Linked DNA regions of Rhinolophus ferrumequinum. The protein of the gene in region 4 purifies or fractionates together with the protein of the main gene of each other region. This does not show direct contact. Links are inferred from orthologs where the notes say so. Each region holds a gene or a part of one and is shown on either strand. Other genes may lie near its edges. The genes, in order: FLNA, PRR5L, TUBB and RICTOR.

The links.
Region 1: the proteins of RICTOR (region 4) and FLNA purify together in Homo sapiens (affinity purification with mass spectrometry; 3 studies listed by BioGRID and IntAct, with this or other methods). This does not show direct contact. The link is inferred for Rhinolophus ferrumequinum from reciprocal best matches to the Homo sapiens genes RICTOR and FLNA.
Region 2: the proteins of RICTOR (region 4) and PRR5L purify together in Homo sapiens (affinity purification with western blotting; 3 studies listed by BioGRID and IntAct, with this or other methods). This does not show direct contact. The link is inferred for Rhinolophus ferrumequinum from reciprocal best matches to the Homo sapiens genes RICTOR and PRR5L.
Region 3: the proteins of RICTOR (region 4) and TUBB purify together in Homo sapiens (affinity purification with mass spectrometry; 3 studies listed by BioGRID and IntAct, with this or other methods). This does not show direct contact. The link is inferred for Rhinolophus ferrumequinum from reciprocal best matches to the Homo sapiens genes RICTOR and TUBB.

What each region holds. Positions count from the first base shown.
Region 1 is NC_046284.1:6,248,949-6,256,345, reverse strand, and holds the start of FLNA (filamin-A), read right to left. Parts: upstream 3,287-7,397; 5' UTR 3,144-3,286; intron 28-3,143; 5' UTR 1-27. UniProt on the Homo sapiens protein: Promotes orthogonal branching of actin filaments and links actin filaments to membrane glycoproteins. Anchors various transmembrane proteins to the actin cytoskeleton and serves as a scaffold for a wide range of cytoplasmic signaling proteins.
Region 2 is NC_046294.1:22,048,121-22,056,481, forward strand, and holds the start of PRR5L (proline-rich protein 5-like), read right to left. Parts: upstream 3,282-8,361; 5' UTR 3,133-3,281; intron 1-3,132. UniProt on the Homo sapiens protein: Associates with the mTORC2 complex that regulates cellular processes including survival and organization of the cytoskeleton.
Region 3 is NC_046286.1:1,311,642-1,319,429, reverse strand, and holds the start of TUBB (tubulin beta chain), read right to left. Parts: upstream 3,410-7,788; 5' UTR 3,225-3,409; coding exon 3,168-3,224; intron 1,838-3,167; coding exon 1,729-1,837; intron 1,482-1,728; coding exon 1,371-1,481; intron 1,082-1,370; coding exon 24-1,081; 3' UTR 1-23. UniProt on the Homo sapiens protein: Tubulin is the major constituent of microtubules, a cylinder consisting of laterally associated linear protofilaments composed of alpha- and beta-tubulin heterodimers.
Region 4 is NC_046290.1:25,886,300-25,894,144, forward strand, and holds the start of RICTOR (rapamycin-insensitive companion of mTOR), read right to left. Parts: upstream 3,355-7,845; 5' UTR 3,313-3,354; coding exon 3,264-3,312; intron 3,095-3,263; coding exon 3,047-3,094; intron 1-3,046. UniProt on the Homo sapiens protein: Component of the mechanistic target of rapamycin complex 2 (mTORC2), which transduces signals from growth factors to pathways involved in proliferation, cytoskeletal organization, lipogenesis and anabolic output.

The DNA.
Region 1 (7,397 bases), on a different chromosome or scaffold from region 4:
GGAGCGATGCAGACAGCTGAGGTTGCGCTGCGAAGAAAGCGAGCCCTTTAAATGCGGGCAGGGGCGGGGCTATGGTGGGGCGGGGTTGTGGGTGGGGTTTCAGGGCGGGGGGGGGGAGCGCCCCGCCCCACCCGTTGGAATGCCCCCCAAAGCCCCCCTGCCCACTCGGTTTTGACCCGACTCCCGGGCTCTGGGGACAGTCATTGGGCACTGAAGGGGTCTAGGACAAAACCAAGCCCCGCAGCCTCACGCCAGCGCTGCAGAAAATGCTGCAGCAAGGAAAGGATGAGCAGCATCTGGCGCTGGACCACTTGGTCTTCCAGTGAGCACGCCATACAAGGGACTTTCCTTCCCCAAGGCCCCTGCGTGGGGTGGCGTGGCTCACCCTCCCTGAGTCACGGGGGCTCCGCCCAGAACCCACAGGCCCCCGCCACTCCCGCTCCCCCTGGGCTCCAGCGCCTGGGGTTCCCCGGCCACACCCCAGCCGGCCGCCCCAGCAGCAGCGGGAAGGGGCCAGATCCTAAGGGCGAGCCCTTGGACAGTGCTGCTGCGAGGTCTTTGAGCGCGTGCGCCACACTAGGGAAGTGGCCCCGCAGAGCCCGGACCCTAGGCCAACCTTCAGGCCGATCCCCAGACCTCCTGCCCCAGGACGGCCTTTCTGCTCTGCTTGGCCCTGGCCTGTGCACCTGCATCCTCCCGTTCGCACCGCTTCCCCTCCTCCCTCCTCCACCCAGGAGGAAATGGGGCACTGGGCCAGGAGGCCGCCAGCACTCCAGGAGCAAGCAGCCTTGGCAGGGGCCGGCCCGTGCCAATGGGCACTGGCAGAGAGTGCCGTGTGATGCATGCAGAGACAGCGAGTGTCCGCCTGGGGTTGCCGTCCACCTGGGGCACTGGGGGTTTCCTCTCCAGTCTGAATGGCCCCTGAGCACAGCGTGACCCCAGGAGATGGCCAGGCGTGGTCCCTTCCAGACCCAGAGTGGCCTGCTCGGGGGTTCCAGTAAGACTTGGCAGGCTCTGAGCCCCTGGGTCTGGGTGGGCTGCAGTGCCTTAGCAGTGCAGAGTCCCTCCCCACCAGGACCGACCGGAGGGCCAGAGGACCGAGGGGGGCAAACCACAGAAGGCTGCCAAGGCCTGCTGAAAAACCTGGACTGTGTCCAGAGGGCAACAGGGAACTATTTGCTCAAAATTAATTTTCTGGTAGATAACTCTGGAGACAGTGGGGAGGCTGCTGTAGGGAACTGGAGACCAGCAAGAGGCCTGTTGGGGACACACTGACACCCTCCAACCAAGAGAAGCCAGCCTAACCATGGCTTCATCCCCAGAGTGGAATCACTCCTCCCAGTTCTGTGTACCCCCCCTCTCCAGGATGCTCCTTTCTTTAAGTCTCTGTCCCTCCTGCTTGATTCTTAGATTGAGCTGCAGACTAGTAGCAATTAAGTTATCATCTGCTAAAGACCAGTGGGACAGAAAGCCCTGGTTCAGCCAGCATGTCATGTCCAAATATGGCTGGTTGACTCGTGCATGACTCAGGGTCAGCATTACCCACGGTGGTCCCAGCTGGCATCTCCCCTGCCCTCCAGCACACTCGCTTCAGGCTGCCTGTCACCCCACTGGTTTTTCCTCACCAATGGTGGTGGTAGGGACTCCAAATAACACTTTCCAATCTGAGGCCCACCTGTGCACTCTCCCCTCTCCTGACCACTTTCAACCATACCTGCACAAAACCCCATACCACAGTGTCTAGGAACTGGGGTGGAGGTGGGAAGGAGAGCTGTGAAGGGGGAACCCGGATGGACCCCTCTCTGCCAGGCCCCATTCAAGACGGGCTGAGTGGTCCTTCTGCTCCCCCTGCCCGACTGGAAAGCATGTGTCCCAGGACAGCATTACATCAAGAATTGATTTTCTTTTTATAATACTAAGTGCCATCCCACTGGGTCATCGGTGTTCATTCCTTAATCTTCAGAGAGCAGGGAAACTGAGTCAGTAACTGACCAGTAGTCAACTCCAGCAGAAAGGGAGACAGAGCTGGGTGTCCTGGCTTCCAGCCCTCGGCTTCCCCTATTTGGGGGAGACAAGTGATAGGGGTGTAGAGGGCTCTTGTCCCTAGGGGACATAGTATTACCACCAGATGGCGCCCCATCCCAGAGCCCCCAGATCAGGCAGTCAATCCTTGGGAGCCTAAATCCAGCTCTTTCATATTTTCCCTTATTTGGAGTAGATTCTTGGATGTTAAACATACCCCGCCCCCCACCCCACAGCTGGCCCTCAGACCCCAGGCCAGACCCTCCCACAGGGGCACGTCAGCTGGTGAAGCAAGCCTCAAAATGGCACGGTGAGAAGAGACCTGGGCCGCCAAGGCAAGTCCAGGTGTGGCAGGTGAGGACACTCATTTCCTGAGCTCCCACCTTGACCTTGCAGCCTGGAGCACATGCACGTGGGCCTGCCAACAGACTTTGCCTACTTTTCCTGGAGCCGGGTAGCATGAGAATCTGGGCACATTGCAGCTCACATCCTGGCTGGTGGTGAACATCCAGCTCAGAGCCAACCTGGGACAGGGCCCAGGGCTCAGCCCAGGAATCTAGCCCGTCCAAGGAGACGCTGCTTCCTGTGCCTGGCCACAGCCCTGTCCTGGCCCCCATGGAGTAGAGCAGCCCCAGAACCAGCTCCCCTGTGCCCAAGGCAGCTGATGCCAAGGACTGGTGCCAGCGAAGAACCCAACACTGGCTGCAAAGTGTCCTTCCAGGTAGCCACTCACCCTCAGCCCACACTATGTCCTGCTCCAAAGACAGTCCTTCCCAGTCAGTCAGTGGCCAGCTCACGAGCATCCATGCGAGCCCATATCCTGCCAAAAGCTCAGACACCCTCTCTCAGGAATCCCCATGGCCTAGGGCTCCCACACTCCTGGGTACAGACACAGCTTCACAGGTACACTAGGGAAGGGAACCCCTGGACACAGCACTTCCAGGCGCAGGGGGCTCCTCCACTGCGCTCACGCACCCCAGCTGCACCTGGCTTGGGCCTGCGTGCCCGCCGGCGCCTACATTCTCGGGACTTCTCCGCTCGCCTTCGCCACCCCCGCCCCGGGTCCGCGAGTAGCGCGGTGACCGTCTCGCGCGGACCCGGGCCGCGGAGGCCTGCCTCACCTGCTGTCCCTGTGGGCGGCCCACAACCGCAGGGTGGCGCCCCGCTCGCCTTTGCGCCCGCGCCCGGCGCCTCTGGGCTCCGCTGGCGTCCGCTGCGCGCCGCGCGCCTCCACGCGAATGGGCCGCCGCTGCCCGCCTTCTTGTTGGCCGCACCCCCGCCCCGCGCCCGCCCCGCGCCCGCCCCGCGCCCTGCTGGGCGAAAAAGCCTTAATTGGTAAAATCGCCCAGTGGCCGGGGGGCGGGGGCGCGCCGTGAGCTCAGCGCCCCGGCTGCTTGGTGACGCTCCCCACCCCCCACCCCCCACCCCCGATGAGCTCACCACCCGGTGAAGGCTGCCGGGGTGATGGGGGGAGGTTGCCTCAAGTGCCCGTGGGGTCTGCAGGGCTCACGTCTCAACCCAGCTGGAAAGGCCACCTCCTCCAGGGAGCCACCCACAGTCACTGCCCCTACCTTTGCCCCAAGCCTGGGCTGGCCAGTCAAATCAGATTCTGCCCTCTGGGGTGGTGGGGACAACAGATCTTTGCAGGTGTGTTTCACTGAGCACTTACCACCCACAAGGCCCCAGTGGGGCAGGGACCTGAGTCCACGGTGATGAACAAGCAGCCTGGCTGCCACTGATTTGGCCCCTGCCTGGTGCCAGTCCAGGGAGGGGGCAGCAGAACAGTGGTGAATTCCTAGGCGCACAATCAGATGCAGTCCCAAAGCCTGAGAGTGTACAGTGAGGTGCAGCCAAAGAGCCAAGTGTTTGTGAGCCGGGTGGCACAGACATGCCCTGGCACTGCCAGGCTCCCTCTTCCTCTTCTGCCCATTTCCTGGTAGTTTCAGATTCAGCTCAAATGTCACTTCCGAAGAAGGCCACATAAAACATGTGCATGCGCACACACAAACACAAATAATTAAAACAAACATTTCACAAAACAAGACTCTCCCTTAGTACCTGCAAAGCTCTTTGATATTTTCCATTCTACTCCATTAAAAGAGAGGGCGAGGGAAGAAGGAAGGAAGGAAAGAAATAAAAATGGAAGGAAGAAGCTTGGTCACACCTGCTAAAAGAATTTGGCGATCTACAGTTTACCAGTAACAGGAAGGCGCTGATCACCCTCCAAGCTTCCCTACAGCCACTCCTGCCTTTGCTAGTGGTAGCTCTGCTTTGACCTTTCCACCTTGACCCATGGTGGGATCTCCTAGCAGTGTCCGGATTTCCAACTCTCACTGCTCCCTCTGGTGGGACCCGCCCACCACCACAGCTGAAGAGGATGGTGGGTTACCATCACTTGATAGAGGAGCGACCTGAGTTCAGGTCCATAAGGTGGCTGTGCTGGAGCTCATGGCCAAGGCTATCCTTCAAGGAGGGAAACCCACCTACCACAGGCATTGCCATGTGTACAAGAGCTGGGGGACACGAAGGAGGCGGGCCACGTGCCTGGATCTCAGGACGCCCCACCTCCATGTGAATCCTCTCTTCCCACTACTGCCTCTCTCGCCCTCCACACACACCCCTGAAATACACACAGCTCTTGGTCTCTCCTTCTTCCAGGTATAGGGGGAACGAAGGTTTGTACAGCACCAACTGTTCCCTGGTAATAACCGTCATAAATGAAAGACTTTTTCTCCTTGTGTTGAAGGTTTTGGAAAACCACTAGAATCAGCTCTATTGCTGCTGCCAAGGCAGGCTCACTCTCCAACTGGCTGTGCCAACGGCTCCCACATGAACCGATGCTTCTAGGGTTGGAACATGAGGCATTCTTTGAGAGACTTTAGGTCAGCTAACTATTCAGTGTTTTATGTTGATTGTGACAATCATCCACACATACATTTTCACAATAATCATCATCTTATGACTTTTGTTACTACCTGAGCAATGTTTCAAAGCATTCACATACCAGGTAAAATCCAAAGGATCTCTAACATCCTTGAAGAGAAGTTTAGTACTAAAGTATAAGAAGATTCTGATCTTACAGAAAACATTAATAACTCAGTGAACAATCATCTCCTTGGACATGGATGCTGAGAAATATATTCAGGTTGATATTCTTTTTCCTTATAACTTTCAATCTGGCTGGGATTGCAAGTTATACAATATAGTGCTTAGAAGCCATCCCCTCTGTCCTTAAAGGAGAAACTATCTTACTCTTGATTTGGAGTCGGCGGCTTCCTAGCCCTTTCCACCCTGGCTGCAGTACCACAGAAACTCAGCTTCTTTAACTCTGCCCACCCTTCCCAGGAAGACTCCCCTGGAGGCCTCAGATTTTCCCCAAAGCCCCGCTGAGGACTTGGAACCCCTGCTGTGCCAGACTGTCCAGATTATTGACCTGAGGATCCGGTACTGGCTGAGGGAACAGTCCATGAATGAATTGCAGTACTCAGGGCCCTTGGACAAGTATCCTCCCTCTCTGGCCCCCCAATTCCTCCTCTTCCTGATGGGGGTGCTGCAGAGGGACTCTCAGCTCTGATGGTCAAGGGTTCGTCCTGGTTCCTGGTGGTCTGGGATGGGTCTGTGCTGCAGCGGGGCTGGTCGTGGGTGCCAGGTAGCCATGGGGTGAACGCAGGGGACCATCACAGTTCAGCCTCCTGGTGCCATCGATGGTGGGACCTCATATTGGGACAACTGGCGTGGGACATAAAAAGCAGAGTGCCGAGGCAGGTGCCAGGGAGGGGGTGTTCCTTGGGGAGAAGGCAAACCTAGAATTCCTTGACCTCATAAGGAAACAGCTTAGATGTGTACAGGGAGGGGTGGCATGGGGGAGGACTGAGCCGCTGGGACATGGGCCAGCATTGCAGAAGAAGGCTTGGAGAGGTGCTGGGGAATCCGATCTTGCCAAAACTCAAAATTCCATGAGGCAGCCTCGAGTGGCCCAGACCCCAACGCCATTTCCCTCCCTGCTCTGAAGCCATGCATGCACGTGTCTGTGACCTACATACTTCCTCCTCATATTTTAGGGGACAGAGCAGACCTCACCTTTCCTCTAACAACCCAGACAACAGCAACTCTTCTGAGAGTCTTTGTGTGTTCCCAAACCACAGCCCCACCTCCTCACCACTCCCTGGATGGCTGCCTCTTCTCTACCCCATAATCAAACCTCCATGGAGAACTGGTCTGTGACCCTCACCAGCTGGCTCAGCCAGCCTGGGTCTGAACCAGAGCCCTCCTTACTTCTGCTTTCCCTGTCACCAGCTATCATCTATAAGACCAGGGACAGCACCTCATCTCCCCATTCTCCCAGTTCTGGGCCTGCCCAGGGAGGGGCATCTCAGCTGGCCACACACTCCATTGGCTGTCTTTGTTTACAACATGTCACCTCCTTTCCAATCTCCACTGGACAGCTCTTTACTGACCAAGGCCCTTACCAACTCCTAGTGACCGTCCAGGCTCTTCAGCAGGCCTTCGCAGCCTTCTGTGGTTTGCCCCCCTCGGTCCTCTGGCCCTCCGGTCGGTCCTGGTGGGGAGGGACTCTGCACTGCCAAGGCACTGCAGCCCACCCAGACCCAGGGGCTCAGAGCCTGCCAAGTCTTACTGGAACCCCCGAGCAGGCCACTCTGGGTCTGGAAGGGACCACGCCTGGCCATCTCCTGGGGTCACGCTGTGCTCAGGGGCCATTCAGACTGGAGAGGAAACCCCCAGTGCCCCAGGTGGACGGCAACCCCAGGCGGACACTCGCTGTCTCTGCATGCATCACACGGCACTCTCTGCCAGTGCCCATTGGCACGGGCCGGCCCCTGCCAAGGCTGCTTGCTCCTGGAGTGCTGGCGGCCTCCTGGCCCAGTGCCCCATTTCCTCCTGGGTGGAGCAGGTAGCGGGGGAAGCTGTGGGGACCGAGGGTGCAGGTGCACAGGCCAGGGCCAAGCAGAGCAGAAAGGCCGTCCTGAGGCAGGAGGTCTGAGGGTCGGCCTGAGGGTCGTCCTAGGTTCCGGGCTCTGCGGGGCCACTTCCCTAGTGTGGCGCACGCGCTCAAAGAGCTGGCAGCAGCGCCTGGCCAGGGACCCGCGCTGTCCAAGGGCTCGCCCTTAGGATCGGGCCCCTTCCCGCTGCTGCCGGGGCGGCCGGGGAACACCAAACGTTGGAGCCCTGGAGGTTGGGGGATGGGGGCTGTGGTGGCTTGAAGGGACCGGGCGGAGCCCACGTAACTTAAGGAGGGCGAGCCACTCCAAGCACCGCGGCCCCGCCCCGCTCCCACGTTCTGGCCGGTTCCTGCCAGTTCCACTCGCACGGCCGTGTCCCTCCTCGCTTCACGCCCGAACTCGCCAGCCGGTGAC
Region 2 (8,361 bases), on a different chromosome or scaffold from region 4:
TCAAAAATCTAAACAAAGTTTTCTCAGAAATAATTACCTTTATATTTTGAAGTCATCTTTAGGAAAAGCACCTCGTTGGAAATAGAAGGTGAGACGATATGGTCCCTTTTGCCTCGAATAGGGTTTTCCGAATACAGTAAGGCTTTTATGCACTTCTACAAAAAAAGATGCTCCTAGGTCATTATTCCACTAAGTTATACAAGGGGAGGGGCTGGGGTTTCAGGCAGAGCTCCCATTGGTGCACGGAGCTCCTCTCACACTGTACCTGAGAAGGTTCCTGACTCACCCTGGCACCAGCCCCTGCGTTACAACTGCAGCACAGGTCGGAATGTAACCTCTTTCCCTTTTTAACATTCTGCTCAGAAGGAAATTTTTACCAGCACAGAATAAAATCCGGCAGGCAAAAGCTCTCAGAACCCTGGTGGTGAAGGCCTAGAAGAGTGACGGTGAAGTGAATGAAAGTCAGAATCTTGACTGCCATTCCCTCTGCTGGTTGAACAATCTATCTTGAGTGACTTCCTTAAGCTTTCTGAGCTCCAGAGTCTTCTCCTTCGGCTGTACGTGGGTATTATCTTTCTCACAGGATTCTCCATGAAAACTAAATGAGATGCTGTATGCACAGCAGGACGGAAAAACGTTTTTAGTCTCAGGTTGTGCTGAAGCCACAAGACATTAGATGCCACATTCCAAAGGGAGTGTGACACCATCGTGAGAAGTTAAGAAAGAAAATGTTTTCCCCTTTATTGGACCACCTCCAACCCACAGGGAAGGTTGGACGAGGAAGATGGTGGGAGAGGAGAGGAGGAGTTTTGGAGTGACCACTAGACGTTCTGCAAGTTCCAACTTCCCGCTCCTTGCTCCCCAAGAGTGAGCTCAAAGGTTCTGTATCCCGGGAGCTTGGCCATCACCGAGGGCTGATGTCTGAATCATGCCTGAGAAACCCACAACACGGGGTGGCCAGCTGGAGTGAGAGGGAGTGGTGCCACTGGATTTGCCAGGGTAGTGGAAGATTTTCCACAAGCCAGAGGTGTGCAACAGGCAAACTTGTGGATCGTGTGGATCCTTTGGAGTGGGAATTCTTCCACAGAAAGACTCTGACTGCACAGCGATGGCTGATGTGTGGCCCCCGCCGCCCCCCGCCAACTTTGTATGTTGAAGCCTTAACATCCAGCACCTCAGGATGTGTCTGTGATTGGAGATAAGGTTTTAAAGAGGTGATATGTTCAAACGAGGCCATGAAGATGGGCTCTAGTTCAGTGTCCTTAGAAGAAGAGGAGATTTGGACCCACAAAAACACACCAGCCGTGCCCACGCAGAGCGAAAGACCATATGCGAACACAGGAAGAAGGCGCCACCTGTAAGCCAAGGCAGGGCTTGGGAAGAAACCAACCCTGCCTGCGTCCTGAGCTTGAACTTTTAGCTTCCAGAACTGTGAGAAAATACATGTGTGTTATTTAAGGCACCTAGTTGGTGATATTTGTTATGGCAGCTCTAGCAAACTAATATAGCACCGTTCAGATGCAGGGGGCCTGAGGGAAGAGTCTTAAGCAACCACCTTCAAGGGACTGGCAGTTCAGAAATCCCCAAAGATGAGGAAGGAAGGTATTCACTGAAGAATCCTCACAATTGTGCCAAGAGATAAAGAATCAGGTTTAAATACCCACCAGGCATAGCCAGTGAGATGCCAGCTTACGACAATATTTACCAAGTAAGAACTTCCCGCTCCCTTTCTTTCTCTGCTCTCTCTCCTCCGCTCCTCTCTCAGCCAAGGGTCAGAATCCTCAGTGAGCCAGATGGAAGCATAAAGTGGGAAGTGCGAGACTCACCACAGACTGCCTTTCCCAGCTCCAGGCGCTATGGAGGAGGAGGAGGAGTCTCCACTTGAAACAAAGTTTGAAGGTCTGGGTTATTCCACAGACCTGGAAATCACAGTTGCTGAACTGAGACAGTGTTGGAATGAGAAACACAGCCGGAAGAGTCAGGGACCAGCCTTAATTTTCATACTTGGGCAGTGAAAGAGTGTGGTTCCATTGAAAAACTGTAGGGGCAGTGATAGGTAAAAATAAAGTTGAACCTTATAAGTCCTGTTTATTTAACATATGTCCTCCTACATATGTGGCAACTTAGCGCAGTCTCTGTCCAAACAAACGATGGCATTCCTTGAGCAATTATTATCATTCCAAACTCCTTCCGGGTCACCATCGAGCAATTCCATCTTCTTTGAGCAAGACAAAAGCTAACGACAACAGACAAACCATTTAAGAGCAGCTGCATTCCTCAAGCTGCAACCCATGGTACAGATGTTCTCCGAAGCCAGAGACAAAACACCACCCTCCATCTCTAGTGAGCCAGACAAGGAGACGAACCGAAACCAGCCACGGGGCTGGGAGGACTTTAAATTCACATAAAGCCTGAGAGCCCTGAGCTCAAATCCTGGCGCTCACTTGACAGTTGTGTGACCCTGAGCAAGTTTCTTAACTTCTCTGTACTTCAAATTCCTCATCTACAAAATGGAGATAATAAAAGTACCCATCCAATATGGTTACTGTGTGAGATAAATGAGAAAATAGGTGGAAACACTTAGACTATTGCCTGGCAGAGGACTCAGTACTCATAATTATCACTATATATCGCAGCCTCTCAAAGTGAAGCCTTGTGATGAACTTGGTTTCTTGTGAAGAACCTTACACAAGGAGCATGGTGATGAAGAGCACAGATTCTTAAACCAGGCTGCCTGGGTTTGAATCAAGCAAGAATGGGAAGCACATTGTATAAGTGTTTCCTATACTTGCTATCGATATAGTAAGATACATAAGTAATATGTATACAGATACAGTACATATAGGAAGAGCTTAATGATAGCAGCTCTTATTAATGAAACAAGCATCTCAATACACGCACATGGGGCCTGAGGTTTCTGGTCACCAAAGGACATCAGAGGCATTGAATAGGGGTCAGACAGGCAGAGTGACCTCAGTTGCTTTTGTTTGTTTATTTGTTTAGCAGAAGGCAGTGGCTCTCAAGCACACAGAATATCTTAAACCCAGAAACCCATTCTCCTGGGGCGGGACCCTCAGCCATTGCCTCCACCCCCCTCCCTGCCAACAGCTCTCAGCCTCTCTCCTGTGTTACCTGATTTGTTTCCTTCTTCCAGGGCAGGTCCCACCTCGCAGGGGAGAGGTGAAGCCCCTCGACCTTCCAGCCTCCTGACAAGGTGACACTTCAACAGCCCCAGCTCTCTTTGGGTCTGGCTCTCCACTCAGTTCCCACTGATCCTTTTCCTAAGGACTGGCGGAAAAGATGACAAGCTGATATCCCTTCCCCCACCCCACGCAGGAAATAATTGTTTCGCCGATTCCAGAACTGACAAAACAAGTGTAACATTGGAGAAAGCAGAGGAAGGTGCCATTCAAGGCCATTGTTACAGCCTCCTCTCTGTGTATGAAGGGGAACAATGGGGCCCTGTGTGTGTGAGAACAATGCTGTGTGTTATCAGCCACTCCTGGGGACGGGAGGATGAGAAATGAGGCCACCATGCCCTCCTGGGTCTGAAGCGCTCTGGAGTGCGGGAGTCATAGCCACCAGGCCGGTCAGAGCTGGGAGAGGAACTTTGGACGCCCAGCCCATGGTGTTCTGCAATGGGAGCGGGGGACGCCTCCTCAGGCCTGTCCTCTCCCTCTCCCCTTCTCCAACCAGCTTTCAGAGACTCATTGAGAGTTAGAGCTGAAGAGAATCACAGATATCATTTCTCCAAACACGTATATCATCTACTCCAACTCTTGGCTTTAATGAGGGGGCACCTGGCTGGGACCAACGCCCAGCCATGCAGCATATTAGCAGCCGTTGGTCAGGCCAGACGAACTGTTACGTAGTAGCATCCATTGAAACCACATCACGGACCAGACACTATATTATGTATGAACAAACTCACACAATGACCTCATTTGCTCCTGCCTTCGAATCCTGGCTCTGCCACTAATTACCCATGGACTGTGAGCAAGTTTTTTCTGTGACCATTCATTTTCCCACCTGTAAATGGGGATTATTTGGGTTACTGTGAGTGTAAATGAGTTAAAACATGTAAAACTCTTAGAACAGTACTTGGCCCATAAAAATCACTCAAGAAGCATGAGTGACCAATGAGATGTCCACATTACCCCCGACAATTTGCTTAGACTCATGAGGAGATGGTGTGGAGAGGGCTGGAAACCCAGAACCCGAAATCCCCAAATTCAGCCTTGCTGCCCACTTTGGCGTAAGTTTACCCCCTTAGGTCCCTGAGGGAAGTGGCACTAACAAATACTCACAGGGAGAAGGCAGATGACAAATGTATGGAGAGGGTCAACTGCGGCACAACAGAGAGTTGTGAGGACATGAGGAATCTGAGAGCCCAAGCCAGTCTTCAGGGGTCAGCCAGGACTCAGTTCTAGCCACCTGCTGCAATGTGGAAAGACAGGAACAGCATGGCTAGGCCAGTTAATTTGTAAAAAAAAAAAAAAAAAGACAACCAGAAATTTGGATTTTTATGTCCCAATTTTTAAACACTGTGTTAACTCAAACATTATTGGTACAGAGTTAGCCCCAATCATGCAGCTTATGTTGCCTGATCTGGACACAGATGACATTTCCAAGCCAGTGTATGGCCCCAATTTGCCTGCAGTCTACCATGAGCGGATCAGGTCACTTCAAAGTCACACCTTGGCTTAGAGAAGGTAGCATAAGGCGAGAAGCACAGAGCAGCCCCTCATCCCTGGATGGCGCCTCATCTCAGTCCACGAATGGGAGTGAGGAAAAGGGAAACCAGGGAAATGCGGGGGACTCTCCCCGAAGGACCACAGGACCCATGGCCGAATCCGCCTCCTGCAGACATTCCTCTGATAAAGAAGGTAACCAGGACTTCAGTGCCCATACTCTTCATCAGTCTCTTTAAATGAACCTAAGTGACAAAATGTGCTTGCTATGCAAACGCAACTCCAAACCAAGATTGCTCAGAATGAGACACCACTTCACACCCGCTGCAATGGCTATAATCAAAAAGACATAATGATAAGTGTTGGTGAGGATATGGAGACATTAGAACCCGCATACAATGCTGATGGGAACGTAAAATGGTGTGACCACTTTGGGAAACATTCTGGCAGTTCCTCAAAATGTTAAACACAGAGTTACTATATGACCCAACAATTTAACTCCTGGGTACATACCCCAATAGAAATGAAAACATAAATTTACACAAAAACTCGTTCAAAAGTGTTCATAGTAGCATTCATTATTCATGATAGCCAGATATCCAGCCTATCAACAGATGAATGGATAAACAAAATGTGGTATAACCAAATAAAGGAAATTATTTATCAATCAAGAGGAATGAAGTACTGATACATGCTACAATGTGGACAGACCTTAAAAATACTAGGTTAAGTGGGATAAACCAATAAAAAGACCACATACCACACTATTCCATTTATATGAAGTGTCCAAAATGGACTAATCTACACAGACAGGAAAGTAGGTTAGTGGTTGCCTAGAGCTGGGGTGTGATGAAGAGAGTTGGGGAGATGCTAGCTAAAGGGTATGGTGATTCTTTCGGGGCTAGTAAGTATGTTCTAAAATTACTGTGGTGATGGTTACACAATTCTGTGAATATAGTAAAATCCATTGAATTGTACACTTTGGGTAAATTGTATATGTGAATTACATCTCAATAAAGCCATTACCGAAAAAGAACCCCCAAAACTTAGATTGCTGCCCTTAATCACCTTCTATTAAAAATTCTGCATCCATATTACTCTCTTCACATCAGCTCCACTTGAGAAGACAGGACAAGCATTCTACATGGATGTTTTTCCTCAAAGGCTCAGGGCTCATACGAGGGTGACTCACTGTGTGGTTTGCCCAGAGCTGTCTCACTATTAGCACTGAAAGTCCTGGATCCCAGGAAATCCCTTATTCCTAGGAAAACTGAGGTGGGAGGTGATTGGTCACCCTAGTGCAAATCTTTTCCCATAGCACAGGAAAGCTCTGCCCTTTAGTGCTGCCAGTGGCTAGAACGAAGTCACCAGATAAATAATCCTTCCTCTTTTGGGTATAAGTCTTCCTTGAGGTCCTTCTAATGATCAAAAGATATTTTAATTATTTTTGTTCCCATTTTACAGACGAGGAAACTAAGGTTCAGAGACATGAAATAACTTGCCAGAAGTACACAGGAGCCGAGAATTGAACCTGGGTTTTTCCAAAGCCCAAGTTACCGCTTGTACCCATCATTTTATCCTCACCATACCACTGGGTTGACTGTCCAGTAACACCCTTAGATTGCACTTGACCCCTGGGGAAGGTAGTCAGACATCCAGACAGAGGAAGTATGAATCTTTAGCTATGTGAAGACAAGGAGACATGTACAACTTGGTGGTTAATAGCATAGACTGTGGAGTCAGACTGCTCAAGTTTGAATATGGGCTCTGCCACTACTTAGCTGTGTGACCTGGGGCAAGTTACTTAACTTCCCTGTGACTCAGTTTTTCCATATGTAAAATGGGGAAATAATAGTTGTGTGTGTGTGTGTGTGTATGTGTGTGTTGTGTGTCACGTGGGATTGTTATGAGAGGTAAATAAATCAATAAATGTGTAAGAGGCTTAGAATGGAGGCTGGCAAGTAGCAAGTTTATTAAATAAATGAAAGAAAGCACAAATTCATACACCCAGTATTGAAAAGAAATCAGATTAGGCCTAAGAAAAACTGGGAAGGGGGACCAAATTATAGAAATGAACTCTAACATTCTGTTCTGTTCCTTCCCATAAAAGTGTTTATGTTTAGGAATTGCTGGAAGCTCCCTAGACTATAGGAAAACCTTTAAAAGCAACATGGTAGTGGCAACTTGGCAAGCCTTGCAAAAGTGGGATGACATGGTGCAGGCTTGAGGCCCGGCCTGGCAGACTGGAGCCCCAAGGGATCCTCTCATATAGCTGCCCCCGAGGGCAAAGAGAGCTGTATCCTCCCACTGGGGTTGCACCTAGTACTCAGCTCTACTTTCCAAAACAGGTGTGATCAACATCATTTTACAGAGGTACAAACAGGCTCAGAGAAGTTCAAGAATTTATTCAAGGTATGGCCAATAATGTATACGGTTAGGTTGAACTCTGAAGTCCCTCTGTTTTATTGCCTCCATGTATTAGTTATTATTGCTGCATAACAAATTGCCTCAAAACTTAGTAGCTTAAAACAACAAATATTTATAATCCTACAGTTTTGAAGTTCACACATCCAGGAGTGGCTTACCTGGGTGGTTCTGGCACAGACTCTCTCATGAGGTTATAGTCAAGATGTTGGCGAAGGTTACAGTCATCTCAAGGCTGTACCGGGGCTGGAGAATCTGCTTAAAGTCAGTAATGAGGTTTCTAGAAGACCTTAGTTTCTTGTTCAGTATGGATCAGAGGCTTCATTTCTTTGCCACATGGGCCTCTTCAGAGGACTGCACACAACATGGCAGCTTGCTTTCCCCAGAGCAAGACATTCAAGAAAAAGAGAGCAGGTACACTAGAGAGCACCAAGGAGCTGCAATCTTTTATAACTAATCCCGGTAGTGACATACCATCCTTCTGCCATCTGCTTTTGGTCACACAGACCAATCTTGGCACAATGTGCAAAAGGACTACGCAAGGATGTGAATACCTGGAGGCCGGGATCATTGGGGGCCATCTTGAAAGCTGGTGACGACACTGCTCATCTTTCTAAAGGAAGGCAAGAAAGCACAGTCCTGCAAATAATAAGGCACTGTCCCCACAAAAAAAGTCACAGAAATTAATCTTAGTCTGAGCACTTTGTGGATGTTGTTCAAAATCAATTCACTGGAAGCACTGGGCTGGCCCCTATGAATACAGGAAGGAGTTAAACCCAAAGCTTATAGTGGTTTATGGCAGAAAACAAGAATCAAGCCATGTGACTCCGTGGAGAAGAGACGAGGGAAAGGCTACACAAGAGAGGGGGACACAGGACTCCAGGACAATGTGGTTCTCAAATATTTTAGTTCAGGTACGGGTTCATCCTCAGACAACCTGGGTTTATTTTCCTGGGCTGGAACAACACCCTCACAGAAAATAGGAGAGAAGGGAGTAGATAGACGGCAGAGGAACAAACGTCCTTAGCAGTTTCCAATTTCTGGAATTTCACAATTAGACAGTCTTTCTTTAGCTTGAAATCATAACATGTTTTGAGACAAATTCTGCTAAGGAAGTGGGTTTAGGAAATGAAAGAGCCAAGCAGATACTAAAAGTGGATAAGAGAAATGCCAGAGGCTGTGGGCTTGGGGTGCAGAGGAGAGGTGGTTCCTTAAAAACCAAGTTCCAAGACTCTACCATTTCAGT
Region 3 (7,788 bases), on a different chromosome or scaffold from region 4:
TGAGTGATGGACAGGGCTTGGCCTTAGGCCTCCTCTTCGGCCTCCTCACCGAAATCCTCCTCCTCTTCTGCGGTGGCATCCTGGTACTGCTGGTACTCGGACACCAGGTCGTTCATGTTGCTCTCGGCCTCGGTGAACTCCATCTCGTCCATGCCCTCGCCTGTGTACCAGTGCAGGAAGGCCTTGCGCCGGAACATGGCCGTGAACTGCTCTGAGATGCGCTTGAACAGCTCCTGGATGGCCGTGCTGTTGCCAATGAAGGTGACCGCCATCTTCAGGCCGCGGGGTGGGATGTCGCACACGGCTGTCTTCACGTTGTTGGGGATCCACTCCACGAAGTAGCTGCTGTTCTTGTTCTGCACGTTGAGCATCTGCTCGTCCACCTCCTTCATGGACATGCGGCCCCGGAACACGGCAGCCACAGTCAGGTAGCGGCCGTGGCGGGGGTCACAGGCGGCCATCATGTTCTTGGCATCGAATACCTGCTGGGTGAGTTCGGGCACAGTGAGGGCCCGATACTGCTGGCTTCCACGGCTGGTTAGAGGGGCAAAGCCAGGCATGAAGAAGTGGAGGCGTGGGAAGGGCACCATGTTGACTGCAAGCTTGCGGAGGTCAGCATTGAGCTGGCCAGGGAAGCGGAGGCAGGTGGTGACCCCGCTCATGGTGGCTGAGACGAGGTGGTTCAGGTCCCCATAGGTTGGTGTGGTCAGCTTGAGGGTGCGGAAGCAGATGTCATAAAGGGCCTCGTTGTCAATGCAGTAGGTCTCATCAGTGTTCTCTACCAGCTGGTGGACGGAGAGGGTGGCGTTGTAGGGCTCCACCACCGTGTCGGACACCTTGGGCGACGGCACCACGCTGAAGGTGTTCATGATGCGGTCGGGATACTCTTCCCGGATCTTGCTGATGAGCAGTGTGCCCATCCCGGACCCCGTGCCGCCCCCCAGCGAGTGGGTCAGCTGGAAGCCCTGCAGGCAGTCACAGCTCTCAGCCTCCTTCCGCACCACGTCCAGGACCGAGTCAACCAGCTCGGCCCCCTCTGTATAGTGGCCCTTGGCCCAGTTGTTGCCTGCCCCAGATTGACCTGGAATCAGGAGGCAAGCTTGATTAGTAAAATGTGGCACATACACAACCACGTTTCCACCTTTCAGTTTTTGGAACAATGCCTGTGGATCGATCTACTTTCCTCCCTCACCAGTGATATATCACCCCCATAATTTACCATCTAAGGCAGCCACACCCCCACCCTCCATTACATCCCAGAACACAGCCCTATAAAAACTCTCAAGCACAACAATCATTTCCTAACTCTTGCTGTCCCCTTGCACACAAATAAATTGAATATGGTATCTACAAATATCTGTGTAACTCACCAAAAACAAAGTTGTCTGGTCTGAAGATCTGGCCAAAAGGACCTGAGCGAACAGAGTCCATGGTCCCGGGTTCTAGATCCACCAAGATCGCACGAGGAACATACTTTCCACCTACGTGTAAGAATGTATAGCCGGGAAAATTAGTACCTAGAAGGTAAATAAACTGGGGCTGGGTGACAGCTAGGGACCTAAACTTGTGATTCCAGGCGCTGCCACCAGGTGGCAGCAGAGCTAGCCTTTGGCAATGGGTGGTGGGAATCAGAGAGAGGAAGATCTCCAAAGGGAGAGGATGGATTCGTCCAAAGGGTGGAGACCCCAGAAGTGGGAAAGGAGATGAGACCGGAGCTCCTTCCCTCACCTGTGGCTTCATTGTAATACACGGAGATGCGATCCAGCTGCAGGTCACTGTCGCCGTGGTAAGTGCCAGTGGGGTCGATGCCATGTTCATCACTGATCACCTCCCAGAACTGTGGAGAAAGAACAATGAACCGTCAACGTCTCAGGTCCCAGCCGATTATGACCCTGCCTCCACCTAACTGCCAGCCACGCCATTCCCCTAGGCACCCCCACACCTGGGAAAGCTGCAGCTTTCACTGCTTGGAATGTGAAATGATGTCCAGCTGGAAAGGCCTGGAGATCGCAGACACCCGGCTAGGCCGAGGCAGCCAACCTGATTAGGTAAGTGTACCCCTCGCCCCCCACGCTGGGCACCGCCCCTCCACGCCGCGCACAAAGAGCCGGGGTAACCAGGGGCCGCAGTCGCCCACCGCCAGCCGCCCACAAGACTGTAGCAAAAGCGCGCGCCCAGCCATCGACAAAGGGAGGGGTCGCGCGTGGGCGGAGCCGAAGCGCGAATTCAGCGCGCGAGGGGCGGGACCTGGCTCGGGCTAGCGCGCCACCTGGTGGCCGGCAGGGCCACAGTCCCCGCCCTGCAGGGCCCTGCCCTTCTGCTACAACGTAGCAGCCGCACTTCCTCCCGGCTACACTGTACCCGCGCGCAAAAAAAAAAAAAAAAAAAAAAAAAATCCCCTCTTGGTCTCGGAATTTTATCCCTTCACTAGCTTTCCCCTCTTGCTTAAAATGAGGATCCTCTTCTTTCCATTTAGTCCCGAGAGACCCTTTAGAGAAAAAAAACCCTTCTCCCGCCCTCTTTCTTATCTGTCCAAGCCCGAAAGGGTCTCTTTAAAGCGAAATAAAGGAAGCAAAATGAATCCAGCACATATTAGCCTTCCACCCACGAAAAACTATGGGCCTGCCCCACGGGGATCGTGGGCGCGTGGAGATCTCTATCTACTCTTTTGTAGAGGTAACGCGCAGTGCAGCCCACCCTACAGCACCACGTCCCCCACCTTTATGGAGCCGGGCACTGCAGCTCTCCACCCCCAACCTCCCCTCTTCGCCCTCGGGCTTGGCCCTACGAAGACCCGCCAAGGGGGTTGGATGCACATGGGGGAACCTCGCCTTGCTTTGTCTCGGCGAGTTTCCGCATCTCCCTCCCTCCCTGGCCCTCGGACCGTTAGATCTCCTTTAAGTAAAACCTTACAGAACCTCGGTCTTCCCGCCCCCCAATCCTCAAGGGTGCTTTTGATAGCTTCCCAAAATGAGTGTCAAGAAAAATAATTCTCCATTTTTCAAATGCAAATTATAGCTACAAATATGTGTTATACATATAAAACTTCTTTGGGGCAAATATTGACTAAGGATGGAGACTGCAAACAGCCCACAACCATTCTCCATAATTTGTACTTTTTTCTTCTCAAAAAGAAGTAAGAGTTAAAAAAGGTTTAAAATCTTTACCTTAGCACCGATCTGGTTGCCACACTGGCCGGCCTGGATGTGCACGATTTCCCTCATGGTTCAAATTTAATTTTTTTTTTTTTTTGCTCGCCTCAAGGTGTGTACGGGGCAAGAAAATATGTAATTTTTTTTCTCTGTTGCTGGTCGCAGGCTGGAAGGATGGGACGCGCCCCGGAGGTTGGAGCAGCTAGGTCCGAACGCGACGGCAGGAAGGTTCTGAGAGGGAGAAAGAAGAGGGCAGGGCGCTGGAGGGAAGGCGGGCAGGGCGGGGCGCGCGTGCGCCGGGCTGGGAGGCGGGAGAAGGCTCCCGCGCAGCACTTGCGAGACAAAGCCTCCGCGAGGCAGGCCCTGATTAGTCGATGCCGTTTAGGTAGTCTATGTCCATTGGTCTCTGCTCTGGGCGAGCGCAGTCTTCTCTGGGAGTTGTAGTCCTCTATTGTTGTCCACGCTGCAAAATGAAGGGACAAATGGGTGGACACTGGCTTTAGGTTTTTGGCGTTTTTTTGAAAAATGACCTTGCCCAAGATGACTTTCCTCTATGCCTGAGTTGTTTTTTGTTTTGTTTTTTTAATGCAAAAAGCGAGTCGTTTGGGATCTACAGGAATTAGGAACCCTAGGGTGCCAGGCATTGGACGGTGGAGTGGGCACACCCTGAAAGCTCCCCGCTGTGGTCGCTCTTGGGAAGACAGGACTGCTTAGCTCAGCGAAAAATGGTGAGAAACGGGCACCCTGCTCTGCTATCTAACTACTGGCCCTTTGGTGACCGAAAGCATGAGCTTCACTAAGCCGCTGCTTCCCCAGCTATCCCAGGAAGAAGGAGGGGATTGCCTTCCTGCTATTTCCTTGGGAGTTTTCTAATGATAATGTTTAGAATGTTTTCTAATGATAATTGCAACAGGGGCTTTGCAGGATAGAGATGTAATTGGAGGGTATGTTCAAAGAATAAATGGAATGGTTTAGAGAAGCTGATATCTTGGGATCTGTGAAGCGGGAAGTCTCCGTCCATGTAAGAGATCTGGTTCTTGGAGCAGCGTTGAAGACTGTGGTCTTGTCAAAAAGAATTATGGGGTGAAACACCTGATAGAATTTCAGAGTCTTTCCAGCCTGCCCTTAGACACTTTGATGAAGTGAGTGGTTTCTCAATTTGTTGATTTCATTGACTGACCATTGCAACCTTTCAAGAGCCTCAGAATTGAAATTTTAAAATGGCGGGGGGGGGGGGGGATTCATGGAAGAAAAATTGGATAGGCTCAAATCAGAGTGACATGCTTCTCAGGGATTAACTCACTTGATAGATACTAAGTGTCCACCAAACCAGAAGCTAGGGATACAAAAAATGATTATGAATTAGTTCCTGGCTTCCAAGATCTTGCAATCTGGTGAGAAGTGTATACACAATAAAGTGTGGTAAGTACTGTAACAGACGACATGTGATATCAAGGTCATCATTAATTCACATTAAATTCAACACATCTCTCAGTCATCTTTTAAAGAACATCAAGTTGTGTATGACCCCTCTATCCACTTATAACAGAATGTTTTATGTTTTAGGGCATGATCACAATGAAAGTAGTTATTTTGTGGTAGTGGAGAGAGTTCAGAATTTAAAATCGGAATTTAAAATTGTTTTAATTTGTCTCTACCTTACCTTAGCTGTAGGAACTTAGCTAGGTCATTTAACTTCGCAGAACTTCACTTCCCTCTGTAAAATCTACTTCTGCCTATTTGATTGTTGTGGTCAGAATGGAGTAACGAAAGCAAAAGGACTTTCTAGATTACATACACGTCAAAATTGTTACCATCCTCTTGTCTTAGTATGAGATAATTAAATAAATGATTTTATCATCCTTTCTTCAGTTCTTGGAAGAACTCGATCAGCCTTTAAGATGGTTAGCAAAACGGTTCACTTTTGGCCTAGGGATCTTTGTTTTAGGAAAATGACCTCAAAAGTCTATCAGGGCTGTATTCTCAGGGAGGAAATGACATGACTTTACTAAACGGGCCAAATCAAAAGGAAATGAACTTCTATCGCAGTGAGAAGTCCTCAGGCGCCACGCCTGAAGGCTGTTCTCCAAATTGCAGCCTCAGGCCACGACTGCAACCCGCAACCCATTTTCATTTATGAGTCAGCAGCCACCATGTCTGGGAAGACCTAGGAAGGGCGTTCTGGCCGCACTAGATGCGCCGGGCGACGACTATGGAAAGCCCCTCTAGGCGCTACCGGCAGGGAGACTCTCTGGTCGTGGCTTGGATGTCTGCGCGGGAAGGGGGCGGTGGGCGGTGAAGCGGTAGTGGGCGGTCCCTTGGAGCTGCCCAATCGAGGTGCGCTATTCTGAGCGCGCACGCGACCTCCGCCTCTCAACCGATCTCAGTCTCCCGGGGAAAGCCAGCCCTTTGAGCCGGAAGTGGGCGGGCAGGAGGCGGGGCTTTGACTTGCCTCCGCATTGGGGGCTTCGTCAATCGGCTTGCAGCAGGGCTGTGAAAGACAGCAGCCGGAACCAATCACCGAATAGGCTCCGACTACAGCGCTCGCGCCCCTCGGTTCGCGACCGTTATTGGTGGCGCGCGCGGGGACTCAAAGTAGGTGAGTTGTTGGGGGCCTCTCCCGCCGCTCCCCGGGTGCCATCTTGGTTCTCCCGGAGGGCGGGAGGGGCGTGCCTTGGGTACGACTGGGCGGAGGAGACTAGGAAATTTTCTTTTCGGATTATAATACTCATCCTTAATTGACTCCCCGCCCTGAGTTTAGGTATGAAGTCACTGGGAGACCGCTGGGCCTGGAGGGAACCCACCCCGGTGGGGATCAAAGGGGTTGGCCTATTGGATTGGAGCCGAGGGTCGTAGGTATCCGCTGAGTCTCCACTGGAGGCGTCCTACTTTCCCTGTCAACGGTTTCGCCCTAGGGTGGCATCTCTAAGTGAATTCCACTCTTGCTATTTTGAGTTTTCATCTGCTTTCATTGGTTCTTTCATCAGTAGACTCTATGGTGTAACATCCTGGAGGGCAGGGTTAGTTTTATGTTTGGTTCATGAATGTATATCCCTAATACTTGTAACGGTTCCGGGTGCAGAATAACTGCTGTTGAGAGAATATGATGGACCCTAGGGAAAAAAACAGTTTTGATGGTCCAGTTCTCCGAGAGGGGTTGGGGGGGGCGGGTGAAAGCAGAAATAGAAAGTAATGGTTATGTAATAATATAGTAAGAAGTGTCAGGATATGTGCAAGTCCATTGACCACCGTGGAACATGTGAATACATCAGGAACACCAGTAAGCAGAGAAGACTCCAGGAAAGGCTTTACTGAGGAAGGGAGGTTTGAACTGAATCGGAAAGGATGGGTAGGAGTTGGACCAGAAAGCTACGAGCAACCGGCCAAGGAATTGGTTTAAGGCACGCAGATATGGGGGACAATAGGGACAGTGTGTTCAAAGATTGGGGAGAAGGTCCATGTGGCTGAACTTGTCGGTTTTGGTGGGCAGGGAATACATTGCAGGACATGAGGTTCAGATTGTGGAGGCTCTTGCTAAGGAGTTTAGATTTTGTTTTATACAATGGGCCTGGAAAGGTGTCAAAGAATATTAAACAGAGGAGAGACATAATCTGGGTGATCTTGGGCAAGTTTCTTAATCCAACTGTGTTGCAGTTTTTTTATCTGAGATATAGAAGATAAATAATACTTTACGGGGTTCTTGTGATTATTAAATGAGTCAGTTGATCTGATCACATTGAGATAGTCCGATAAAATGTAAAAAGCATGGGCTTTGCAGCCAGAGCACATTTATTCCTGCCTTTCCACTTACCTGATATGTCATCCTGAGCAAATACTTAATATTTTTAGCCTTAGTTTCCTAAATTCCTGCCTTGTATGGCTACTATACTTGACCATAACATAATGTTTGGCAAAATTTAGCTCCCTTTAACATGGTGTTTTTCAAACTGTGAGTGGCAACCCAGTAGTGGATATTAAATCAATTTAGTGAGTTGCAAATCGACATTTAAAAATAGAATAGAAAAAAAATAGAATAACATGAAAACTAGCTGTGTATTGCATATAATAAGGCTAACCATTGTTTCTGAAAACATTTGTCTATATAAATAAGTTTGTGTGTTTGCATATACAGAGATTCTCCAAGTTACAATTGTTTGGCTTAGGATTTTGGGACTTTACAATATGGCAAAAGTGATACACATAATAAATTACATGAGATACTCAACACTTTGTTATAAAATAGGCTTTGCATTAGATGATTTTGCTCAAGTGTAGTCTGATGTATGTTCTGAGTACATAAAAGGTAAGCTAGGCTTAGCTATGATGTTCAGTAGGTTAGGTGTATTAAATGCATTTTTTACATAGGATATTTTCAACTTACTATGGGTTTATTGGGATGTAACTACATTGTAAGTCGAGGAGCATCTAGTTGTGAACTTGGAACCTGATAAAATTTATTTCTTATTCTGTGTCATGATCAAAATATTTTTTCAGTGCTTCAGATGGTTAACAACAGAATGCTTGGCATAAAGCGAAGCTTCAACTTCCATAGCTATCCAGGTTTGCCCCCAGTTGTGAGTTTCCTCTCCGAGACTGTGTGTGTGAACCTATGTTAGAGATTATGATGCTGCTAATG
Region 4 (7,845 bases):
ACTCTCCTGGGCTTCAAGACACTTACAAGGCCAGCCAAGTTATTATTACAAGGAAATTTTCTGGAGTCAGGGAGAAAAATTCTAAGGTTCTATAAAATAGAATACCACCTTTTATCTTATGTTCACTAATACACTGCTCTTTGCTTAGACCTAATTTACTGTTAATCTCCCATTACTTTTTTACAATTGCTATATTCAAGAACTATACTTTCAACAAACTATATCCAATTTAATAGTATGCCTCAAAAAAATGAAAACTTTAATACCATAACTCTTTATTAACAAGTGTATAATATTCAAAACAATCATTTGAAATATTTTAAATGTGGTATAAATTATTTTGATTTCATAGTGTAGGAAGGCAAGTAGCATTTTATTAACATCACTCACAGAATGTCAGGTCCTATGCTGAGTACTTCCATTAAGCACTAGCTCACTTACTTTTCACATTCTTAATAATCTTTTGAAGTTCGTTCTTGTTCTCTCCCTCTCTATCCCCACCTACCCACCTCGTTTTTTTGAGATGAAGAAACCAAGAGTTAAGCAAGGTCAAATAACTTGCCCCAAATCACCTAACTATTAAGTATCACAGCTGAATTACAACCCAGAACTATTTGACTTTACAATTTGTTCTTTTCCTAAAGGAATTACGATGACCATGACCTCCATTTTATAATGAACTTTGCTAAATAACCTACACAATGAATTTCTCAAATGTTGCATTAAAAGAAATTAGGATGAGAGCAAACATTGCCTTACCATTAAAAAATATATATTATTTTTGGTTACCTAAACTTTATCTAAAACATACTGTAATCCAATCCACAAACAGCTGCCCTTCAGCTGCAACCCAGACTGCCCCCCAGTTCTCAAATTATTACTAAAGTTTAATTCCTCATGAACTTTTCTTCATGTTAGATCCACAAGCCTTCTTTTAACAATGAAATGTTTGTCAGAATAGCAATTTCTTAAACAATAGCATCACTATATAATGAATCTAACTCATATTACTTTTATTTCTAAACTTCCTTAGCATTTAGGAATACAGTTCTCATATAACCTCTCACTCTTAGTTGTATATTGTTTTTGCAATCAGTTTCAATTGGTTGTGTGTATTTCATTCCAAACTGAAGTATATTTTGTCAGAGAAAGTAGAAATACCATTTTTCTGTACTTTCTGTATTGCCTAGAAATGCCTATGGACATATAGATAGGTGTTTACTAAATGCTCAGGGAATATTGCATTTTATATAGTAAACATACAGAGTTATCTGTGTACTTGAGGAAAATTGGAGTAAACCAAAGGCATCACATCAAATTTGTACTGTACATAGCTCTTTCACAATCCAAAATTTTGACATCAACAAACTGTAACTTATTTCTAGCACCACATCCAAGCAGGTCTTTAATGCAGAAATTAGACTCAAGATCTATCTATTAAATGCTCTTTCACTTTCATCTAAAACATGTATTCTCATATATAAATTAAATCACTAATAAACTACATTTGTTACAGAACTCAAATGCTAATTTTGGGCCTTGTGGGAATTCTGTTAGGAAATTTACTAGAAAATCTTTTCCCATATATTAATATATTTCATGTACATTTCATGTTCATAATGTATGTTATATATAGTCAAGTTTCCAAAATATTACACAAAAGTCAAAAGCTTTACATCTTTCTACACTAATATTCAAACGCTATCTGCTGAAAAAAATGTTCCAATTTATACCATTAATGATCTAATTCGTTGCCATTTCTATACTTAAGCCTTATTGTATTTTAGAAATTCTTCCGCCAGTAAAAGAACATACTTCGCCCGAAACTAAGGCCCTGAACTTTCAAAATAAACAACTGCTACAAAAATGTACTCTGGTAGCTAAAGGAAAACTAGCCTTTTAGTTTATTAAATGGTAATTTTACATTATGATATACAAATTAGAGAACGCGCACTATGGTTTAAATACAGAGATGAGCCTCAACAATGAGCCTGCATCTAACACTGTAGATAGATAATGGTCAATATGACAAATACAACATAGGTTAAAAAATTTTTTTAATTTTATATAGAATATTTACAACCATTTTTTTTAAAACTGCCTAATGTGTTTTTCGAGTCTCAAAAAGGAAATTGATTCTGTACGGCTGAACCAGGTTGTATTCTAAGCTAAGGCTGGTGTGAAATATGACTTCTTCGGAATCAGTAGACCAAATCCTGTTTACCGTGGAAGAGAAAAGAAAAACCCTGTACACAACTACTAAATCTTCAGAGAGATATTGTCGAATAAACTCCAGTACGATGACTGAGAAGATATACTGGCCAGTAGCCGAATTAGATATTTAAAAATATAAGCGGGATTTACCCATTTTCGAAGGTGTAAACAAACCCAGCGCCACTGCAGAAGGTAAACAATGAACCTGCAGCGAGGGTGAGGGGGCGGTCTTTGCCAACTACAATCCCAGCCGCCCGGGAAAGGGAAACAGGAGGGAAACACAGCGTAGATCAGACACTTAGCAGTATTCACCCGCTCTAGGTTTCACTACTGAGTTATCAATGTTACGGGTCCCCCAGGGAGGTGGGCAAAGAGACAACATTTCACGCAGTCAGCCAGAACCGAGCAGGTCCGGCTTCTGCTCTGGGGGACGGGGAAGGCAGGATGTGGTCGCTCTTCCCCGACATCCTCCGGCAACCTAAATAACAGCCTCTACCTCCCTCCGGCCGCCCCCAGGATTTGGCTGCACAAGCTCCGGGATAAGAGTAAAGCGTTTCCTTGGGGGTCCAGGGAATCCAGAGGGTCGCCGGCCGCGCCGAGTCCCGCTCGGTGTTCCCCGGCACCCACAGCACCCAGAGGCCCGGAGAAGAGCTCCGGGCGAGGGAAGCAGGCACTGGGAAGGGGGATGGGTCCTGGGAGGCGGCCCCCGGCTAGGGCTCTGGCTCCCGCACCCCCACCGGTCCCGTGCGCAGCCCGCCCCTGTCCCCGGCCCCCAGACCCCGCTCCTTCCCAGCAGCGCGCCCTCCCCGGGGCCAGCGGCGCCCCGCGTTACCTCGGGTCAGATCCAGCGGGACGTTCTCCTCGCCGCTGTCATTCCGCCCTGCGTGAAATAGACACACAGACCCAATTAGGATTCGAGGGCAGGCCAGCGGCGGCAGACCTGGCTCCGGCCAGAGCCCCGCTTGCTCCCTCCGCCCAGAGCCAGGGGGAGGCAAGTGCCAGGGGTGGCGGGCGCCAAGCAGTGGGGATGAGGGCTGCAGCGAGCTTACCTCGTATTCGGAGATTCTTCAGCGAGCGGCCGCGGCCGATCGCCGCCATATTGACGGGTTTCAGTCACAACACCGGAAACCTCGCCCAATCGCGCGAGAACCCCTTCCCCTCCCCGCGCGCCTCACCCGCCCCCAGCAGCATCTCCCCCGCCCTTCCGCAGCGGCGGGCGGCGGGCGGCGGCGGCGACTCCGCACCCGGGGCGCAGCGAGCTCCGTGCCGACTCAGGGTCTCGGTGGAGCTTGCGATTGCGCGTCCTCTCATTCGGGAACGAGAGGGCGCGCGGCGGCGCGCCTGACCTTCTTGGGAGCACGTCTGCTGGGAGGGGACATTTCCCACGAGGGGAATCCCATTGATACGAGTTTATAGCTGGAGGATGCTTCCCCTCCTGCCGCGGCGGGAACCGTAGTCAAAACCGGAGCGAGCTGGGAGGAGGCCGGGATGTGGCCGGCTGACCACCTGCTAAAACCATCCTGCATGATTCTCATGCTTGCTTTCAAGCTCTGAGATAGACAGCCCCACGCCCCTTCCTAATACAGGAGTTAAAGCGATTTTTATTAAAAACGAAAACAAAACGCTGCGCAGTTTTAACATAACTCAGTTCCCTTCCTAGAGTCCTTTTGCTCCCACCAAGTTAAGACGCACGTAACAAAGTTTGTTTTCCACCCTCGCTCTCTGACCACCGAACTAAGCAGCCTTGCATTTGATCTTCAAAGCCACACTCGGCCAGGGTGCTACTAGTAAAAGTGGAAGTGGTCTGGTGGGGGGTTTTGTCTTGCTGGAGTGCAGGGTGGTCGTCCCGGGCAGCGGATGGGATTGGTGCCGCGCCCGCACGGACGCCAGGAGGCTCGGGGAAAGGGTTTCCTCTCTGCCTGGAACGGAGGACAGGCTGAGGAGGGCTGTGTCCGGGTTTTCTGTCTGTATATCTCCTACAAAAGTGGCTAATATAAATGTGGACAATTGCTAACTCTGGAGAGTTGAATTCTAGAAACTGCATTAGCTGATTAATGTATATACACCTGGCCCCTGACCCAGCAGCTTTTTCTTAAACTAGATTAACTTTAAAGAGAGGGTGGGCGTTTTGTTGCCTCTTATTTCTCAACTCTTGTCTTTCTATTCCGTGAGACTGGAAGTTAATTGACACTGGAGAGCTTGCCGTAACCACTTTTCTTTTCCCAGCTTCCTGTTAATGCAGTGTTCAGACAAATAAATGTTCAATATACGTATAATCAGTTAGTTGAGTAAATGCTCGGATTCCTTCTTTATTCCAAAGCTCTTGATGCTTTAAAAAAAAATTGGAGATACTAAAATTGGAAACACTTGACCCAAAGATTATGCAAATTATTGCAGCCATTAAAAATGACAATACAGGTCTAGTATATTTATAGGAGATAATGTTCTGGATATTAAATCAAGCGAGAGATCACAAATTTCCCATTTCATAAATGTTTAAAATAATATAAAATTAAAAGTATACAGTACTTTATAAAATATGTTACATATCTGTTATGTTACACAATAGAGAAAAGTCTCATCAAAATGTTAACTGATTATTTTTTCCCTCAGTGGTGGAATTACATATATAGTTTTTGTTCTTGTTTACTTGTCTGTAATTTTAAAATGTACTCTGTTTGTATATTCCAGCTGCTTTTCTTACTGGGTCTGCAATCAGATGTCTCATGCTGATAATGCACTTAGATTCAAGGATACAACAGAATTAGAGTAATTTTTAAAAATATCTCCTGATATCACCAATACTAATTTCAGTGACAAATTTGCAACCTCTTTTCTAGCTTTTAAGCCTTGGTGCAAATGATTATAGTGACAGCCTAAGGCAGACATCACAAAACTTGAGGTCTGGCTAGGACATGAAAATTTTTGTATTTCATCTCTCCTTGCATCACATTTCACCATTTTAGAAAAGAAGAAATCTATCAATGGAAAGTCTACCAGATTCTTAAAATTGTTCCAATTCCAACCAACACTTTTTATACTATTTTTCTTATCCCTGTCTATTCTAAATTAACTCCTTACTAATAAAATTTCACTTTCTTCTCTCATTTAGTCTTTCATGAAAGTTGAGAACAATTGACCCACCTTTAAATTACTAAAGGTACATGAGAGCCTGAATCCAATAGCCTTTCTTCTTTATAACTGTGTGTTCATATTTAAAGATCATTATTCAATTAATCCATCTCTTCCAGAAGTAAGAAATCAACTTTCTCCCATCTTACAATGAAACTAGTTTTTCCTCTGTTACGTCTCAGTCATTTGAGTGGCTGTGTTCTCCACATTTGCTCTTAAGGTGAATGGCATTTCTGGTAAAAAGAACAAGTTCTTAGTGTTTGCAAATAACACTCAACTAGGAAGCAGAAGTTTAGGTAAATTTTAGTAAGGAATACATTTCACAATGTTGTGTTTGCTTTTCAAACAACAGCACTACATTATTGATCCTAGTCAGCTTATTTGTTAAAATCTCTAACTTATTTTCCATACTAGCCAATTGCTAGCCACTCCTCTTTTTGAAACTTGTTTTTCTTCCTTATTTTAGCCTACCCCAAGTCTTACTCATTGTGTTTACTTGTTACTACTTCTCCAATTTTCCGGGTCATTTTGATTCTAATCTGGTCACTGAGAATGTGACTTCCTCTTCTTACTTTTCATTTCCTAACTAGGTTACATTTGCTGTGTGAATGAATGTTTTTTTTTCTTCTCATAGTATTAGTCATTGATAAAAAAGGTTATATGAGATTGGGTCCAGGACCACACCTCTAAGAGATAACTGCTGGATCCTGAAGCTGAAGATATAATGTCTCCATTGATAGTCACACTCTGGGTTCTTTTTTCTATCCTATTATACACAGTTAATAATTCTAGTTTATAAACAAAATTTTATCAGTTTCAGATGCAGTGGTAACATTAAACAAAGTCTTGCAAAAATTTTATTTCTCTTTATCTATCTGCCTTCTTCCATAGGCCATGTGAAGATAAAGCAAGTCAAAAACCACAATATTTGGTCAGTCTCTTTTCTGGTAATTTCTCTTTATAGTAAAATCAGACATTTAACATCTAGATAAAGGCCATTAAAATGACAGGCAATGGGCTAAATTCAACAAATGTTATAATCCTACACAGGGCTGATTATAAAGATTCCGCTTTGGTCACAGCAGGACGTAGCCTTTTAGTATTTGTTGTTCCTGTAAATTTTAATCTCTCTTACAAAAGTCTCCTTTAAATTTCATTTTTAAAAAATCTGTAAGGTATAAAGGCCCTCTATGAACACAATTTTAAATGAAGAATAAGCCTATGTTTGTAAAAAAGAAGGTACATATATTCATAAAAATCGAGAAGGGTATGCATTAAAATTTCAATAGTGATTATCTCTGGTTGGTAGAATTTTGAGTGATTTTTAACTTTTTTTCTCATTTTAATTGTTCTAAAACAAAATTTCACTTGTGTATTTTTTAAGGAAACTATTTTAGAGAAATTCTGTTGGTGATCCTAAACAACCATTATATATATTTGATTATAATAATGTGTTAAGTAATGGACCTATGAAAATTGTGCATCTCTTCATTAAAAAAAAAAATTGTCCACATACTCCAATACATGTATATTTACTTTTTTTATTAAATAAAACATAAACATGAAATAAAAATAGTTAAAAGTAATTTTTAATGTTATGTTGCTATGGCACAAATAAAAGCAATGGGCTGAATATATTTCATTATTTTTTAAAGTTCTTGTTAAAAATTTTGAGATACAGCAACTCAAAAGTCTAATTCTAAGAAAGGTTTATTTACATGTTGGGATTTAGTAGCTGAAACCTCACAAAATACAAATTAAAAACGGTAGAACTACTCTAATGGCTGCAGTTCTAAATCATAACACTCATTTTTCAATTCCATTCCTTAGTTATAAAAAGGTTTTTTATGTAATTTGGCTAATAAATATCTCTCTTAATGTCAACCTGTTTTCAAAGCCAACTGGAAGGCATATTTAAACATTTTTAGCAAATGGTTTTAAAACGCTTCGTCTAAAGATTTTAAGCAGTTAAAAAACACTGTTTTCAAGATTTTTAAGTTTGTAAATATTACAAAGGTGACACGTTTATATTTTTAATTGTCTTCACACACACAAAAATCACAAAACTGTGGAAATGTTTTCAAATACCTAAATGCTCTCTTTGTAGCACAAGTTTCTTTTGATGAGTAATAACTTAGTTATTGTTTTCACATTTACTTTGAAGGGAAAGATTAGATTTAATATTTTTAAAAAATCTGATAGATAACATGCCACTGTAAACCACCAGTCATGAAAAAAAAAGTTTGGTACTCAATAAGTATCAAACATCTGTATGGTACAAAAGATTTTCATAGTCACTCTCCTTCTCTTTCCAAAGTATGTGAAAATTAAACTGTATTTTAAAGGTCTTTATTATATGAAACTATCACATGTGGCACTATCTCTGTTCTTCTGTGAATCCCTAATATTTAAATTTCATTTATAGCAACCGCTTGTTGATTTTTCATAAAACATTGCTTTTATTAAGGAAGCTGTTCACTGATAACAATACACATTCTT